Linked DNA regions of Macaca mulatta. The protein of the gene in region 1 purifies or fractionates together with the protein of each later gene. This does not show direct contact. Links are inferred from orthologs where the notes say so. Each region holds a gene or a part of one and is shown on either strand. Other genes may lie near its edges.

Region 1 (3,750 bases):
ATTATATACTTTATTACAAATGGTAAACTCAGAGTGCTCCAAATCTCTTATTTACAAACAACACTGGGCAGGACACCCAAACAAACAAACAAGAAATAACTTACAAAGGCATGAAGCTGTTTATTGACAGTAATCAGCTTTCATCAAATTAAAAAATATATATATGTACATACACAGTTAACGAAGGCAGGCCAGAAAGAGTTCATCTGTAGGCTCAGCCTCGCTCTCACAAACCTCCCTCCTGCCGCCCCTCCCCAGCCCTCCCCCCCGCTTTGTGTTCTTAATGAGTACTACAGAAGCAATCTACAGTCTCTATTGCAGTTTGTAACCCCCTCCCCCTCCCCCCTTTAATACTGAATGAGATCGAATGTTAGGTCCATGCAGTTCTTGGTCAATGTTAACGAAAAGTCCAACGTTCCGTCCGCGCGGGGACAGCCCGTCCGCAAAGCGGGGCAGCCCGCAGGCGGCCGCTCCCTGGCTCCACGCCAAGGGAGGGCGCGCCAAGTCCTTCCCACTCGTGCACACTGGGGGCGCCGTCAGGACGCAACCCAGTCCAACTTGGATACCCTTGGCTTTAGTTCTCGGACACTTCTTTTTTCTCTCCGTCGCAACTTGTCAAGTTCTCAAGTCTGTCTCTCTGTGTTATTTTTTTTCTCCGTTGCCCCTCAGCCCCCAACAGTCTCTCTTCAAAATGTTTGCAACTGCTGCGTTAGCATGAGTTGGCACCCACTGTTAACGTGGTTCATGACTTTCTGTTTAAGCTGTGCCACCTGTTCCCTGAGCATGTTGGCCGTGGACGCCAGCTCCGAGTTCTGAGCTTTCAAGGTTTTCACTTTTTCCTCCAGCCGGGCGATTCTCTCCAGCTTCCTTTTTCGGCACTTGGAGGCAGCAATGCGGTTCCTCATACGCTTCCTCTCCGCCTTGATCCGCTCCTGGGACTCCATGTCAATGGGGGACAGGGGCGGCGTCTCGCCAGGCATCTCGGGCACTGTCTGAGGCTCCTCCTTCAGGGCTTGCAGCCGCGGGTGCTGCACGGGCATCTGCTGGGGCAGGTGGTGCGGCGGCTGCGGCGGCGGCTGCTGCTGCTGGGGTTGCGCGGGAAAGGCCAGGCCGGCCGCGCCGTAGGAGGGCGCCCCGCCGCCGCTGCTCAGCGCGCCTGGGTTGAAGTTGCTGAGGTTGGCGTAGACGGGCGGCTCGCTGTGCAGGCTGGCGCTGAAGCCTCCGCTGCCGCTGCCCCCTGCCACCGAGGCTACCGCTGGAGCTACCATGCCCGCCCCGCTGACCGGCTGCGCCGCTGACGTGACGCTGGGCAGCGTGTTCTGGCTGTGCAGTTCGGCCAGGGCGCGCACGAAGCCCTCGGCGAAGCCCTCCTGCTCGTCTGTCACGTTCTTGGGGCACAGGAACTGGGTGGGGGTCGGCGTGGTGGTGATGTGCCCGTTGCTGGACTGGATTATCAGGCGCTCCAGCTCGGGCGACGCCAGCTTGAGCAGCCCCACGTCGGGCGAGGTGAGGAGGTCCGAGTTCTTGGCGCGGAGGTGCGGCTTCAGGCTCCCCACTGGGTCGGCCAGGTTCAGGGTCATGCTCTGTTTCAGGATCTTGGGGTTACTGTAGCCATAAGCTCCGCTCTCGGACGGGAGGAACGAGGCGTTGAGGGCATCATCATAGAAGGTCGTTTCCATCTTTGCAGTCATAGAACAGTCCGTCACTTCACGTGAGGTTAGTTTGGGCTGCGTGCTGAAGTTTCGGGGCCGCAACAGCGCTCTGGCAAGCGGGGGACACCCGTGCCCCCCGGGGCCTTTGGCAGGGAAAGTTTCTCTAAGAGCGCGCGCACCCGCTGGTTGTCGTCCCCGCTGCGCCCTCCTCACCAGCTCGCTCCAGGGAGCGCAGGGTTAATTAAGATGCCTCCCGCACTCTTACTTGTCGACTCGCGCGCGCGCTACCCGGCTTTGAAAAGTCGCGGTCACTCACTGAGCGCTCTTCGGGCGCCGCCGTTCCTTGGAGTCCGCGGGCGAACTCGCTTCCCAGAGCAGCGGCTCTCCCGGCGGCGCGGATCAGTGCCGACCCGCAGAGGCCGACCAGCGGCGGGTCTCGGCCGCCCAGACTCCGACGACTTGTCCCCTCCTCCGCTGCGAGGGGGAGGGGGCGCCCGGCAGCCGCGGCTCGCGCTCGCCCAAGTTCAGCAACCGGTGCGAGCGAAGCTGAGCGCACGTCCTTCTTCTTTTGCGTGGCTGTCCGCCGCCTCCTGGTCTTTACCGCCGCCGAATAGCCTAAGACGCAGGAAAGGCTTGCAAAAGTTCGCTCCGGGACTCTGGGCCAGTTGTCTCCGGTCCTCCGGGCCGAGAAAGTTCTTTGCTGCTGCAGTCGCTCGCCGACTTCCCCCGGCGGGCGCGTGGGTACCGCTGCTCGCCACCGCTGTCAACAGCGCCTGGGCAGCAGGGCTCTCCTCCTGGGGGCGGCTGGAGACCAGGCTCTCTGGGCACTCCTCGTAACACCAGCCCGGGAGCCACAGGCGCTAGCTCTGGGCAGTTGGAGAGACGGTGGAAAAGAAAATAAGATTTGCAGTTCGGACTATACTGCCGTCCTGGCTGGCTGGTTGTGTCTGTCTGCCTGCCTGAGTCCGCGCACCTCCACTCCCGCCTCGCTGCTTCAGCCACACTCAGTGCAACTCTGAGCCCTTATCCAGCTCGAGCTCAACACTTATCTGCTACCAGTCAACCCCTAAAAATAGCCCATGATGTCACCCCAAGGCCTTCCCATTGGCTCGCGTCGCTCTCAGGGGGGCGGGCCCGCCCGTCACCATGGAGACTCCACCCTAGAAGATTCTTCTCTGGGCCCGCGGAGGCTCACGGGATGAGGTAATGCTCCGCTGCCCTCCTACAGTCGGGCCCTTCTTTCTCCTACCCTCCCCCCTGCCGCACGCCTCTCGGCCCTCTCTTCCCCGGTCCCCTCCCCGGGCCGTTTTTCCCGGCCCGCCCGGTGCATTGTGGGCTGACGTCTTGGGGTTTGACTGTCTAGTGACGGTGGCTGCCGCGAGCGGGCGGACGCTCGCAACATCTGACGGAGGGGGCTCAAGTTCACGGCTGCGGACTGGGATGCAGGGGATGCGGGGACCCGGGAGGCCAGGGAACCCGGCCAGTTGTTTTGGGTCAAGGGTGCGGGCGAGGGGTGGTTGTGTTTCCCCACTTGTGGGGCTCGAAGTCATCCACCGGCGTCCGCCACCGCGCGGGGCGGGAGGCTGAGAGTCCAGGTCCGCCGCCCCCCCGCACTTCCGGGGGGCGGGAGCGCCGCCCTTAAGGTGGCTCTGTGAAGTCCCAGTTGGGGGCGAGCCTAAGGGGGCTTAAGTTTGGGGGCGGTCTCCCGAGAGTCGGCCCCCCACGTTGAGAAACGCTGCGAAGTTTGCATCTCGGTCAAGTTCAGGAGGGATGGTCCGCGGGGTTGTCTGGCTGCTCTTAGAAGCTGAGAGATTTGTATTGCCCAAAACTGGACGCTCAGCTGAGTCTCCGTTGCACCCCACTTCATCCTCCGGGACCGTGGGGGAAAGGGCGCGGGGGATCACAGCTTTGCCTCCGAGGGGCAGTTTTTATAGTGGGCGCAATTAGTGGGTAACAGGGTCCAGATGGGAACAAGCGTGTAGGCGATCCGAAACTCGGGGAACCCCGGTGTTAGTCTACTCCCCTTCCCGCCCCCGGACAACACACACACGCTTAACACAACACGCACAACATGCGCGCGCGCACACACACACACACA
Region 2 (3,650 bases), about 150 Mb from region 1:
TTAAAAAAAAAAAAAAAAAAAGTCTTTTCTATTACTTATCACCATGTGAAAATACGTGCTTTACGATTTAGTTCACAAACACACGCACACAGCAGAACTTTAGCTTGTCCACAGCCCTTAACACAACCCCTGGCACATAGCAGATGCTAATAGAAAACTACGGTTAAAACCGTAAGAGAAATTCCCATGAACCCCACCTCCCAAACAGATACAACATGGGAGACAACTCATCCTGGCTGGCTCAACCTGACACACCTTTCTCCTACTAGCAGATCCCCACCACAGTGAGTGGGATCCAGATCCAAGCTAAGTTAATCATAATCTAGCCACAAAAATTTTTTAACTGCAGTTGGAAACAAAAGCTCCTTTTTTTTCTTTTATCAAAAAACATGCATATAAACCAAGAGTGCAAATGACATTATTATCCACCATGTGATAAAGAAGTCTGTAAGAAAAGAAAATCAGAGCTGTCCCAATCAAATAGTCACAAGGGGCACAAAAGAAAGACTCTCAACAACATTCAAATCCTTAATCTCATGTACTTGTAGCATTCCAGAGAAGCCATGGTTCTAATCTTCTCAAAGTTTGGTTGTTCAACTATTCCTTTTTGTGTGTATGTGTTATTCACTCCTTTACTGTGTCAATAAATACTCCCTTTATGTTTAGCCTCAGGGTAGTATTTGCTTATGCTAAGGTGTGTGTTGCTTATATCACACTCAATTCCCAACACTTGCAATTTCACATTTTACATCTTTAACATTTACATAAAATAAATGGAATTTTACATTACATTAAATAAGATATATTTAGTACAGATCTCTTTAAATGCTCTTAGTTATGCCATACACTACTGTTGCTACCAATGGACACCTGCTGAAAGAATTTTATGTAGATAAAAATAATCTCTATTTCTCCTCCAACTCTCACATATGAATAGGGGATGATATGGCAAGAAAGATACTCATTAGAAGACAAATGACCAACAAAACTATTTCCTATGAAAATGAAACTTTTCTTTCTGAAGATTTTTAACACTCAGCTTTTGTTAATAAAAACTGGTCATTGCAAATAAGTTATAATGTATGGAAATTGTTCTTTAAGTTACTAAAAGGGGGAATCTAGCAGAAGTGACACTTTGTAGCTGTTTCTAGCTGAGTAAAAATGAGTGGATTAGTGAAGCTATCCTATCATTTTTTAGATCTTTTTCATTGCAATAAAGTTCACCATTTAAAATATTTTTTAAGGTTAGCTACCACTTACTGCTTCCAGTTGTTTCTTCTTCTGCACTAGTAACTCCAACATAAGATTGACATTGGCCAAATCAAGGTTATCTTGGTCAGTTCCCAACAAATCTTGAAATATCTGCCACCTGTGGCCATTCTAAAAATGAAGAAAGAAGAAACAACAACTTCCTAAGAAGACTGTTTTAGAGACTAAAACAAATGTTTACTTGCTACTTCCTAATATGCTCATTACATAGACACCAAAAACACACTGCAATGTTCCAAACTACTCCTTCCTAGCTAGCGGCTCCCTACTGTCTTCTAGTTATAACTTAAACACTATTTCTTCTCCCTTAAATGAATTAAGATAACAAATATAAAAGGTGCATTCGAGAATATTCTAAAGCTGTAATTTACCTTCAAAATAACTGAATTTAATTATTTGTCTAGCCATATTTTCAATTTTGCATGTAGTAAGGTATTAAGCTCATTTGCCTTGGAAATTTGGGACTAAGCCTTTAAAATTGAGAATCTTTCAAAGGTTTGTTTTTGTTTTTCTTTGAATATAGACAGACTCTCACTATGTTGCCCAAGCTAGTCTCAAATTCTTGGGCTTAAGTGATCCTTCAGCCTTGGCCTCCCAAAGTGTTAGGATTACAGGTATAAGCCCAGCCTCGACAGTTTTTTTGAAAATATCTAACCATTGTTTCACCACGCAATACAATCCTTCAAATGTCAAGTATTAAAAGACAAATGTTTCAATATAATCCTACCAGACCTTTCAAAATAGGAGCACTCTAGCAAAGTATTACAGATAATGCAGTTAAGAAAGTTATTTGACTAGAACAATCCTAACAATCTCCGTTAAGAAAAATCAATAATATATTAAACTTTAACGTCTAACTAATATTAAACCAATAAAAACAACAAAATGAAATGTATTAAAAATAGTAATAAGAGTTGAAACATACGGTGCTACTCACTGAGTGGTCCAATTTGAACCTCTTTTCCTCAAATCTTTGCTTTTGTTTAAGAATGAGTTCATTCACTGAAAACAGAAACAAAATAAAAAGCACAAATAATTTGTATTTTTGTTAAATGTATTGTGTAATTCTTCAGTTTAGATAGATTCTATTTTACCTATACACAGCCTCCAAATTAAAAACATGCTAAACAGAAAGTGTTAGCTTTTTATTTTATTTCAAATTAGAAAACAGTTGTGCTGCAGCTGCTACTACTACAACTACTATTACTATAGGAGAATTCTTCAGAATATGAATTTTCCCTTACAAGTTTCTCAATGATGACGCTACTGGCACCTGAGAGAGAAATCCTCATTCACCATATGAGACCATCACATGCCCCATATGGTAACAAGGCATGAGTAACTAAGTATCTCCTATGAGCTAGGCACTAAAGACTTGCATTTGTTCTTTCTCTTTGTAATTTTTCTAAAAATGCCATGGAAGACACTTTTAGTTACCTATCCAAAGACCATCCTACTCTTTTTCTTGATAATAACATGACTTTTTTTCCAAGTATCAGACTGCCATATAACTTTCAGAGAAGTTAGATCTCACCCCAACCCCATGTATTACTTTGACTAACCTAAGGCAATCTAGTCATTCATGCCCTTGCCAGTGGTTGACGTGGGGTTAAGTATGTAACCCAATTTTGACCAAAGAGAGATGTGCTATCTTTCAGAAAGAAAAGGATAGGAGAAAAAACCATGCCTTCATAAGGGGTATCTGAAACTGCTCAGAGCCATCTTGTAATCTCAAGAATAGCCAGCCAAAAGACTAAGGTATACGCTGGCAATGGAAGAACAGAACAACAGAAAGAACCTGATAATACCACTGAACCACTGATAACTAGCTCTAGAAATTCTTTTCCTGTGAATCGATACATTTTCCATAATGTTTAACCACTTTAAATTGGATTTTTCAATTTTTCTACAACCAACAAATATAAACTGACACAAAAAACTGATTTTTTTTTTTTTAAAGGGAAACTAGTACTAGGCTAGGTAGGCACTTTATAGACAATATCTTACAGATTATTCTCCCCAATTAGAGATGAATATTAGCACAGAGAGCATTAAGGAACTTATGCATGGTGACATATACAATGAAGTAGTACTGAGAATATAGACCCAACTGTCTGATACTTCCCACTATACCACAATGCAAGTATAAATATTTTTGAAAACACCAAACAGATACCAAGTTCATAAGGATCCAAGCTTCAAAGATACAATACAAGGCCTCAAGCAATTCAGACAAGCAAGACAGATTCATATGATACAGTACTTATAATGTGATAATCAGTACTATCATTAAAATAGATTTACAAAGTATACACACAGAGATCAATCAAAATGTTAACAAGCACACTTCATATAGAAGGCAACATTAGAAATGGGCCATA
Region 3 (3,650 bases), on another chromosome or scaffold:
TGTAATATTTACTAGGTTCACATATACAAGAACTTTTATTTACTTAACATGTTTGTGCAAATTAACTCAATTTTGAATAATTTAGCCTTCTTACTAATATCTTTGAAATTGCAGATTTGATCTTCTAATTACATTTTTCAATACACATCAAAATTAAAATATGATTATTAATATTAAAAATGCTTGGCTTGGCATAGAGGCTCACACCTATAATCCTAACACTTTGGGAGGCTGAGGTTGGAGGGTTGCTTGAGCCCAGGAGTTTGAGACCAGCCTGGGTAACATAATAAGACCTTGTCTCTAGAGAAAAAAAAAAAAATTAGCCAGGCATGGTGATGTACACTTCGGGAGGCTGAGGTGGGAGGAACACTCGAGTCCAGGAGGTCAAGGCTGTAGTAAGCTGCCCTCCAGCCTGGGCAATGGAGTGAGGCTCTGTCTCAAAAAAGAAAAATGCTTAACCACATTCTACCTAAAAGTTTCTCAGATACTACTGTGCCTATCAGATTCTACAAGTGGTTTTAAAGGTGTTTGAGTCCAGCCATTTCTCTGGTGGCTTGACTCCCTGCAATCACATCCTTGCCAAGTAGTCAAGCAGCCAATTCTTAGACACTCCAGCAATGAGGAATTCATTCATTTATTTAACAAATGGTTACTGAGTGTAGACACTATACTATAAACAGGGGAACCCATTCATTTATTCAACAAATAAGTTACTGAGTGTAGACACCACACTATAAACAGCAGATAGATAGTGGGCGGAGGGAGTAGCAAGAGACAGTCCCAATCTTCCCGCAGCATGCAAGTTAGTGCAGGAATCATTATCTTATTTTCCTCACATCTGCTATATGTTTCGCAGTTTCTTGCTCATCATGTCTATCACAAAAAGAATGACACATTTAGGGGGAAAAATGAACATCCATAAATTATGAAATTCAGGCCCTCATACAACACACACTTTCCTTATATACTTTCAATTTGTACACTGGAAGCCCCAAGCCATCTCCATTTAATGAAACTGAATATGCAAAGGCTTTGGGGTTTGGCACCCTAACTGTTCCTTTCTAAGGATGCACAGAGAACTAGGTGTGGGAAGAAGATGAAAGTAACCTACCAATGCCTAGCCATTAACTGTTTTATTTTTTTATTTTTTATTTTTTTTTTGAGACAGAGTCTCACCCTGTTGCCCAGGCTGGAGTACAGTGATGCGATCTTGGCTCACTACAGACTCTCCCTCCTGCATTCAAGCCACTCTGCTGCCTCAGCCTCTTGAGCAGCTGGGACTACGGGCCTGAGCCACCACGGCAAATTTTTTTTGTATTTTTAGTAGAGACAGGGTTTCTGCACCTTGGCCAGGCTGGTCAAACTCCGGACCCCAAGTGATCCCGCCACCTCCCAAAGTGATTAGCCTCCCCAAGTGCTGGGATTACAGGTGTGGGCCACTGCACCCAGACCCCATGAACTCTTAAAGTGCAGAGTCTCCCTATGTAGGGTACTTTCCTCCCTGCCCCACTCTCTTTGGCCATTCTCTCAGCTTCTGGAAGCACTGGAGTATAATCCACAACTCTTAATGCTATCCCTGGACTGTGGGTCACATACGTGTCTATTTACTTGCCTTTTTTTCTGCTGATAAATAGTGCACATATTTTTAACATTAGAACAAATGCTCTGAACTACATCATTATAAACTATAAAGTCTGCCGGAGAAGCCCGGGTACTAGAGTTTCTTCCTTTTCTCTTAGACACGCCCAGACACTTCTGGGCCTCATTATAAAATCTCCCCAGTGAAGCCATTCATAAAAAGCAAAAATTATGCAAGATTCAAATCTTGGTGAGTTGGCAAATGAGATGAAAACATGCCTTTTCTTTCAGAGCTACATAATGACCATAAACCTTTCTTTCTTTCATGTGAAACAAAAATAGAGATAACCAAGTATAAGCCAAGGCAACCCCCTCAACCTAGTGAATATAACGAACAGCTCCTTTTCAGTTGAAGGTTTATTATGGGCCAGGCACTGGGCAACTGCTTTGGAGACATTAGTTTGTTTATTCCCCCTAATGTAACAACTCTATAAAGTTATGATTCCCATTCTATAGAGGAAGAAACAGAGCGCCAGCGAGTTAAACCTAGCAAGTAATTGCTGAACCGGGTTTGGATCTCTGTCGGATTAAAGCCTGTGCTCCCAGCCTACAACTTAGCTGGGTAGGTCCCCCCTTCTCAGAGCTCTGTGGGCAAATTGATTGAAAAACTGAACGGTTAATTTTGTTTTGTAGAGTGTCCCGGAATTAATAAAGCTCGAGGAGTGAGGCTGCGGCTCCTCTGTGGACTAAGTGTGTGGCATCACTGCTTAGGTCAACAAGTGCCTGTCGGGGCCGGAAATGCCCGCGGAGCAGAGGGCCTTTGAGTCCCGGGGAAAGACACCGTGGGCTGCACCTGAAGCTGCATGTTTGTCTGGGTGAGTTCTTCTGCTTTCTTTTCCAATGACATCACCCAGACCTTCCTCTTCTGTCTGCAGCGGGTGGCAGCTGCCCGGTTCCGTTCCAGAAATTTCCGCCGCCTCTCGTCGGGATCCTCGTCCACCACCCTTCGCCGGCGCCCCCCTGTGGGCTGGGGTGGCTGTATTGTCTGGGTTGGCTGCATCTGTTGTGTTGCTGGTGAAACCTGCTGGGACAGAGAGGGAGGAGGTGATGGGGATAGGGAAGGACGTGTTAGGTAAGGGAAGAAACCCAAGCTGATGCTGAAATGCAAAGCACAGAAAGTCTATCCCTTCAGTCAGCATATGAGACTTGCCTCCTATGAATGAAATAAATGATGAAATCACACTCAGAAAAGAAAAAGCATCACTGACCTATATATTCTGTGATGTGTTGGCAAGATATAGGAATGACTTGTGAAAAGATGTAGTCAGATGGATTTTTCCCTGACAGGCATTTAGCCGAATCATGGTAGAGGAAACATTTATTTTTCTCCTTCAGCTATTAAAAATGTTTTACTGACGGTGTGTTTAAAAACTTTAAAGTAAGGGTCAGGTGTGGCGGGAGGATCATTTGAGGCCGGCAGTTTCAGACTAGCCTGGGCAACATAGCAAGACCCTGTGTCTACAAAAAAAAATGGAAAAATTAGCCAGGCATGGTGGTGCATGCCTGCAGTTCTAACTACTCAGGAGGCTGAGGTGGGAAGCTTGCTTGAGCCCAGGAGGTCGAGGTTGCCATGAGCTATGATTGTGCCACTGCACTCCAGCCTGGGCAACACAGCAAGACCTTGTCTCTAAAAAACAAAAACAAAAACAAACAACTTTAAAATAGCCAATGTATGGCTACAGGGTGAAAACAGAAAGGTCAGGGTTATTATCACAATATGGATGACTCAACTGTCATCTGCAGAAAACCTCTGAGCAGGTTGTGGGCTCCTTTCATTCTAATAGTGGTAAAGTTGTGTTGCTAACATACCTCTGGGACATCGTTGCCACTGTGGCTCCTATCAAAAGAAGCCCATGAAGCCAGGAAGGCAGGTGAAATCCTATTGTGACTCTTTCACAGTTCTTAATGCAGAGGACTAGCCGGACCTGCACACTCCACCTGGGCCTGCCTGCCCCTCAGAGGGCTCACCAGGGTGAAAGGAGATCCAGGAGAGCTTTCTAGGTGATTGGGAA

Evidence for each region.
Region 2: the proteins of JUN (region 1) and COP1 purify together in Homo sapiens (affinity purification with western blotting; 9 studies listed by BioGRID and IntAct, counting the BioPlex papers as one, with this or other methods). This does not show direct contact. The link is inferred for Macaca mulatta from reciprocal best matches to the Homo sapiens genes JUN and COP1.
Region 3: the proteins of JUN (region 1) and CREB5 purify together in Homo sapiens (affinity purification with mass spectrometry; 5 studies listed by BioGRID and IntAct, counting the BioPlex papers as one, with this or other methods). This does not show direct contact. The link is inferred for Macaca mulatta from reciprocal best matches to the Homo sapiens genes JUN and CREB5.

The regions. Positions count from the first base shown.
Region 1 is NC_133406.1:181,865,221-181,868,970, reverse strand, and holds JUN (transcription factor Jun), read right to left. Parts: upstream 2,676-3,750; 5' UTR 1,692-2,675; coding exon 687-1,691; 3' UTR 359-686; downstream 1-358. UniProt on the Homo sapiens protein: Transcription factor that recognizes and binds to the AP-1 consensus motif 5'-TGA[GC]TCA-3'.
Region 2 is NC_133406.1:33,619,805-33,623,454, forward strand, and holds part of COP1 (E3 ubiquitin-protein ligase COP1), read right to left. Parts: intron 2,272-3,650; coding exon 2,195-2,271; intron 1,381-2,194; coding exon 1,261-1,380; intron 1-1,260. UniProt on the Homo sapiens protein: E3 ubiquitin-protein ligase that mediates ubiquitination and subsequent proteasomal degradation of target proteins.
Region 3 is NC_133408.1:99,536,128-99,539,777, forward strand, and holds part of CREB5 (cyclic AMP-responsive element-binding protein 5), read right to left. Parts: intron 2,660-3,650; coding exon 2,432-2,659; intron 1-2,431. UniProt on the Homo sapiens protein: Binds to the cAMP response element and activates transcription.